Drosophila melanogaster: one gene and its partner. The protein of the gene in region 2 interacts with the protein of the main gene of each other region in a pairwise test. Each region holds a gene or a part of one and is shown on either strand. Other genes may lie near its edges.

What was found. The genes of interacting proteins can lie anywhere in the genome.
Region 1: the proteins of tup (region 2) and CG32369 interact in a two-hybrid assay, tested with the Drosophila melanogaster proteins (one large-scale study listed by BioGRID).

What each region holds. Positions count from the first base shown.
Region 1 is NT_037436.4:7,807,958-7,811,714, forward strand, and holds the start of CG32369 (uncharacterized protein), read right to left. Parts: upstream 1,869-3,757; 5' UTR 1,040-1,868; intron 1-1,039.
Region 2 is NT_033779.5:18,879,506-18,883,262, reverse strand, and holds the start of tup (tailup), read left to right. Parts: upstream 1-2,001; 5' UTR 2,002-2,467; coding exon 2,468-2,606; intron 2,607-3,757.

The sequences.
Region 1 (3,757 bases), on a different chromosome or scaffold from region 2:
GCTTCCTCGATATTCGACTCTGAGTCATGACGAACCTTTTTCGCCCGATGACGTATGCAAATAGGTTTTTCCTCTTTTCGAGCTAACCATATTTTTTCAGCATTTCCCCAACCCCTTTGGCGTTTTTCGTTTTGGGCCAAGTGGGCGAACTGTGTTGTTGCGGCTTGTTCATTGGCAGCAAACGTCGCATAATACTCGTAGTACATTGCGTGTCGTAACGCTAAACGTCAACCGAGTGAGAGGGGCATATGCGGTCGAGGGGGGGAGAGGGAAGGAGCCCAGTTTCTCGCTTTGGTAGCTGACGAATATTGGGTGGTGACCCCGACAAATTGGCGAATCTTTAGTAGATTATCGGGGATTGGAAACTGTTAACCAGAGAATTACGAAAGCGATGACAACGCGACAGATTCAAGGAAAATGAATGAAATGAAAATGAAAAAAACTGACGTTTTTTTTTACCAGTTATATTTTATATACTTTAACTTTGTATATAAAATTTGTGTCAACTATAATTTAACGAGGTTGAATTGTTTATTTTCTTAATTTTACTTCTTTTAAAATTCCCAAATCGTTCTTTCCACCATTTGTTTTTTGCTTATCTGAGCTAATTTATCGCGAAATCGTTAAGATATATATTTTTCCACGGAAGTTTTATCACACATTAAATATAAATGATTATCAAGTGCAGGCCGAATTCAATTGGCCACAGAACGTCAACAAAGCAGCGCGGAAAAAACGCTTAGTAATGCCTTTAAAAATATGGCAACACGTAAGAGCCGCCCCTGCAGTTTTCCCTCCGCTAGACTCAAGCAGTGCACTTTTTGTTTTCACAATCATTGCAGATAGCAAATGAAAAACTGTTTTCCCCGACAAAGAGCGAAAAACTAAGAGAGAGACTTGAATGTGCCAATCTTTGAAAACGCAACTTTGTCGAGCGTTCATTCACATTGAAAACAGAGGCATAGCATGTGGTTTGATGTCGTAACACACACAAAGAGAACCCGAAAGAGTGGCAAAGAGAGCGCAGAAATGGAATTACCTGTCGCTGTTGAACCGCGCCTCCTTGTTTTTCCCCAAAAAAGGGTAGGTTTTTCGCGGGGGGTGCGGCGTGTACTGTTGCTCAAGAATCACACACAGACACACACACTAACACACGAAATTCTCCCTCTTCTTCTTGCAATTTATTTAAAATTTTGTTGTTGTATTTAGTTGTATATATTTTTGTTTGCCAAAAATTTATAGCCACACGCGTGCGAAAAAATCGAATTGGGGAATCTATTCACTCGTGTTATGTGTTGTTTGATATTTATATATATTTTTTTTTTTGTTTTGTAAGAACTTGGAACGGCGCTTGTCCGTCGGCTTTACGTAACCCCGCCGCACACACGGGTTAACTTTTTTTCTTTCTTTCTCGTAAAGGGTGTGCGGCAATTTGGGGGGGGCTGCACTTGGACCCCCTTTTTATATTTTGTGACTAATTTATTTATTTCATTTATTCACACCGAGAAACACGCGAGCGAGCACCTTTATTTTATTTTATTTATTTCTTTGATTACGTTGGCGTTTGTTTTGTAATACGCTTACGTTACGCGACGAGACAGAAAGAGAGAGAGCGAACGCACTGGGCGAAAGAAATAGCGACAACAGCAGCAACGGCGGCAACGTGTTCGAGTGGCTCGGCGATGATTTGCTTATGGGGTGCGCTCCACTTTGTTGCTTTTTTATTTGCCTTTTTTATTATTCATACTTTTTTTTTGTATAATTTTTATTATTTTGCTTTTTGTATTTGTATTACGGCCTGGTTTTTTTTTTCAAACTCTCCCTGCTGTCTGAACTTGCCACGGCCGCTGTTCAACAGCGAATGACTGCTGTGAAAAGTCAGTCGTTGGCTTGGAGCGAAAAATTGGCGCTCTCTTTTGGGGTCGACTCTCTTACGCCTCCGTGGATGTGTCTGTTGCGTCATCGATGTCTGTGCCTTGAGCTCTCTTTGTTTAGCACTTCTCTCTCTGGCATTTTATTTTTTTTTTTAATTTTTGCCGGCAAACCGTCAACTGTCACAACAGGCGACGCCAAGAAAAATGATGGGGCAGCGGGGGCTGCGGTGGGTGATTTGCAAAACTATTGGGTTGGGGGATAGTGGGTGGTGTTGGGGGTGCTAGTTTGCCAGTGGGCGTCATTTATCGTATGATGCGCATTTCCGGCGCCACTCAACAGACTACAGCCATATAAACACCAAGCAAACATCAATAATCACAACAGATACGGTCGATTTTCTGTTACTTAAACTAAATTACATATATAAAATTTTGTAATTTTGTTTAATACGCAAATATAGTTTTTAGATTATGTAAAATAGAATAAAAGCTTACTCAAATAACTTATAAAATTAATAACGAAATTTGTATAACAAAATACACAATAGATTAAACTGTGAAAATATAAGTTGATTAATTCTCAGACATGTCATTACAAGATGTATTAATTTTATAATCCTTAAACAGGTTTTGAAGCTATAGATTTCCTATCCCGATAGAGCTCAGAGTTGTTAAAGTTCGTCTGTAATATCGAATATCTGCGTTTCGTAAGTGTTGTGTGGCTATTACATATTGTTTTGTCATTTAACGCAAATTACGTATACGACGCGTTGACCTCATTTGGGTTGATCAACAAATGCAGTTGTCGACAAACTTGGCTTATAACAACCGCGTATCGCTTCCCCTCCCCCTACTTCCCGTCTTTCTCTTTTGGCTCCGCTTGGCTTGTATTTCAAGCTCAAGTTCAACGTTGTCTGTTAGCGGTTGCCTGCATACTACCAGTTTTCATGCTGCTGCTGCTGCTGCTGCTGCTGCGTTTCCATTAACATTTTGAGTGGCCGTTGTTGTTAACTCATTTTTCGCTTTCGTAAGTCTTGGACAGTATAAAAATATGCGGGGCGGGCGAGTGGAGTCCGCTTATGTTTGAGCATTGCTCGCATTTATTGCAACATTTCCCCATAGGGAAGTAATCGAATTGCTTTGCCTCAGGTCTGGGTCTGGTTTAAGCCTGCATTCAAAAAAAAAACAAAGCTTGAAAGTTTACAGATTAAAACATATTAAAATTAACAAAATTTATTCTAATATATATTTTCAAATTTCTGAGTTGTAGAATCTCAATAATCTTTAATTGTTTAGCAATTAACGTTATTTTAGTAGTACCATATATTTTAATACCATGTACAATTATATAATTAAATTTTGACTGTGTACCGGTTATACAGCTCCCATTTCTCAAATAGTTGGCGCTGCTTTTGTTGTTCATCAACGGAAATTAGCTGCGAGTTTCATGTTTGAAATGTTTATTTTGTAAGCAATATATGAGGAAATTAGTTTCAGTTTTTTTTTTTTGCTTTATTATGTTTTTTGCATAATAGTGTATATCACCGATTTGGGCTTTGGTTCAGCTGAATTTGAAATAGGTGTGTGAAGCTGACAAACAAATTATTTATTTTTTTTCGTTGTTTTAGTGAATGTTAATTGAAGTCGGGCGAGTTTCGTTTGTTGCCAAGTGGAAGTGAGAATTTGTCTTATGATTGGAATCCATGGAAGTTTTTCCACAGATTAAATGTTGAATGGTATACATTGTTTTAGAATGCGCATTTTATCCGAACTTGAAGTTCGTCATTTCAGTTCTTGAGTTTCCGGCAGCTTTATTTAGCGACATGTCAACTGCACCCAACAGTTTTAACAGCTTATCTCATATCCAGTTACCATTTTCAGAT
Region 2 (3,757 bases):
AAACAATGGCTAATATAGCATGTCTGCTCAATTTCAATTAAACGAATCGAAACAAAACTATTTCAACCAACAAGTTAAACGTTGTTCCGACCATATCGATGCGCAGTGGCTTGAGTGACATGTCCTAATTCGTAAGCGTTGACTTTTACCGGCATTTCAATTAACCCAATTAATGGACGGGACCTAATTAAATTTTGAATTCATGTTGCCAGCAAACGCACACTCATCCAGCTGCCTAGTTGCCCCGCACACAGATACGCCGGCACACACACCCTCGCAGGCGAACACACAGACATCAGTCAGCTGTTTTCTGCTGGCCAGCTGTCGTTCGAGTGCGAAGGAGATGGCGCGAAAGCCTCGCAATTCGGGGGTGGTTGGGGTACTGTTGGGGGTGGCAGAGGATGGTGTTGGATGGTAGCAAGGGGGTGGCTCGCTGTAACAAGTATGTACTAATGTCGGCGTCTGGCTAACTGAGACACGGCTATGAATGAGTGCCCCAAACGGAGCAAGCGGGCCACTGAAACTGTAGCTCGATGACCTTGATTATACAACACAGCAGCAGCGCCACCACCCCCCAAACCAGCTCAAACTCTACCAGACCCACAAGCAGCCCTGTTCGCAGCAGGGCCACTCCTTCAAAATACCCTACGTCAAATAAAAATGGCAAAAAAGTAGTCAGAGGCTACAGACACTCGAAAAAATAATAAGGAAATCTAACTAAATTGTACAGTAACACAATATGTTTATGATGTTAAACTTAAAATATTATAAAACTAGATTGTATCTCTATCACATATTCTATATAATTTAGAAATGTGCACATTTAAGTAAAATAATTTACCACCACAACTCATCTTAAACTTCTTCCTGGCCTACAGATAAGCATTCTTCAAAATTGCTTAAACAAGCTTTTCTTCGAGTGCACCCCAAGAGTCGGTGATGGTAACTGGTAACTGACATTACAACAAATCATCGGCCAGCAAATGTTGGCAACTGGGTGCCAAGTCAACGAACTGCTAACCGCAACACAGACACCGACCGCCACCCACTCGAACACATATATAAATTGCCGTACGGGGGCGTCATTAAAATTGCAACAGGGCCTTGAAGGAGCAACAGAGCAACAGGGGGGGAGGGGGTGGAGATTGGAGCGCTCCCCAAAAGACCAGAAGACGAAATCAAAAGATCAATAATTATTATGATGTTGCAGCACACCCGAAACGAGACGCCTTCAGACCGCAGAGCCAAGTCAAGACGGGCAGGTGAGACAAGGGGGGCGGAAAGGGGCGAAAAGGGGAGCCCCAAAAGCGGAGGGGCTACAGCCGAAAAGTTCGACAAGCGCATTACAACAGTTCGGGGGTAGAAAGACAGACGACGGATGAAGAGTGGGGTAGGGTTGGCCAGGGGGGTGCGCTTGCTTACAAGTGCAACCATTTTGTAGTACAAACTTCGAAAACCAAAAGCGAAATTGGCAAAACAAAAGGCCAGCGAAGGGAGCGAGGATGTGGGCCCACCTCCTGACTGCCTCCATTTGTGGATTGTGGATCCCGCAGCCACAGCTGGAGTCGGTCATGCGCACTCCGTCCAACCGATTGGCCCGCTTCGCCGCCATTTAGAAAAGGCCCACCAAGTGGAAGCGAAAGAGATGGGCTTGCTGCCAGAAAAGGACGGAGCGTGAGAGCGCTGCCCGCAGAGCGAGTGCGACAAAAACACCTGTTCCTGTTTCGAACTCCCCCCCCCCTGCAGGCCGTCAGTCCATCGAGTCGGCTATCCGCTATCGGCTATCCGAGAAGTACACGCAGAACTGGCTCGGAACCGGTTGCAGCTGCACCAGTGCCACACCAGTTCCCTACCCTTGCGGAGCGACGAGCTAGTCGCACTGCTCTCGCAGGCAGAATGTATCTGCGAGATACATTTCGGGGTGAGTGGCTGGCTGGCTCGCTAGCTCGCTGGCTCCCTGGCGTGCGGATAACGTACGGCAAACGGAACGAAGCGCCGACCGGTTTAGTCGTTCAGCAGTCTCCGTGCAGTGAGCATGTTTGTGCGCCAGACATCGTCGTTGGTCGGTTGTCGTCATCGCTACTATATAGCCGTCGTATCGCGAACATCGACCGTCTTAGCTCGATAGCCGTCGGATTTGCCTTTTCGGATGCGAGAGACTCTTAAATCCCTCACCATAGATCCAAATCCCTGCGAACAAAACGCGTGTGCGCACACGGATCACACAGCCGTGATAATCCCGCTAAATTCGCCGAAAACCCAGTGCTCTGTGTCCCGGTCTCATATTGAGTAATTCAAGCAAACTTCACGGAATAAGTAAACCAGTACAAGTGCCTTACACAAATATCCCTGCTCAATGCCGGAAACTTCTTGAGTACGGCCCAAAACGAAAAGGCGCCCGCTCTCAAGATTCCCAGCCCACAAATATCTCGAGTGTGCTTCGCCGAGTGTCCTGTCAGCCAAATATATGGTAATGGCAGAGATTGGTGGCCATTTGGCTCACCAGCTACCGTTGCACAATCACAACCACAATCAAACTGGATTACAGCCATCGCTGGTGATGAACCATCACCTGGATTTGGATTGCCATGGACACGATGTGATAAGTGAGTACCGATATTCAAGGGCTGCTGGCTTTCCGATTTCGGGCTATTTGGGCTGCATCCTTGAAAAGGACGATATTTAATACTGGAGATAGCACGATCACTTACCTAGGGACAGTCTTAAAAAAAGAACAATGGAATGCCCTTCCACAGTTTGGATATGAGGCTATTGTATCTTCTAGATACATTTGTTGGTTCTAAGTACTTTCGGTCTGTTTAAGAAGGCATTACAGTTTTTTTCCTTAGTTCCCTTAGATTTAAAATTTGGATTTAAATAAATGTCCTGACAAATAACTTAGAGGCTAATAGGGGTTTAGTCTAAAAAAGCGCTTTGTTGATCCACTGTAAACCAAGATTAAATTGCATTTTAAATCAACCTATTCAGAAATTGTATACCTGCAATTGAAACATCATTACATAGATCACGCATCAGTGTCGAATCATTTGCCGCTAATAAAGCTATTTAAAGCAGTTAATGACTTATTTATGGCTATTGTCCTAGTCCCCAAACAAAAATTGGCAAATTAAATAGTCATTAAACAAGAGCCACTGATGGGTAACTTTCTCGATTCGTAAATATGGAAAATGAACGAGGAAAGCCCGCTTTGGACATTAAAAGCCAATAAAATAAGTAAAAAGCCGTGTTAACAAATGCTCGCACCCAAATCACAGTTGTAAACTTGTCTTGCTTATTTTTGAAACATTTTAATGCCCACCATTTTAAATTCCAGATATCAGAGATCAAGGCTCGGACTCAAAGGTTCCGAGCTTTAAAACCATGAACTGTTAGTCAAGTTTATTTGTAACGAAGGTCGAAGTTATTTTTATACCAAAATCATTAAAAAGTTCAGGCACGCGTTGAACTCTTTCATACCTTGAGTTTTTAATTTTGCCAATGGATGTGATGTGAGCAAGGCTGCGCTAAAGTAATTACAAACAAATTAAAGTGATACCAAGAAAATACGAATCCATAAATAATTTTTATTGTGCCATTCTTTTGTCAAATTGGAGGATCTTTTTTTTTGTATATTGAACGACTTTCTGAGGTTCTATCTTTAGGTTCGGGATTTCTTTCGGGCCACAGTCGTTAGCCGACTTGTCGCTGCAGCTTTTGTAATGGGCTTAGACCCTATCTCGACCTGTCACTTGTTGTT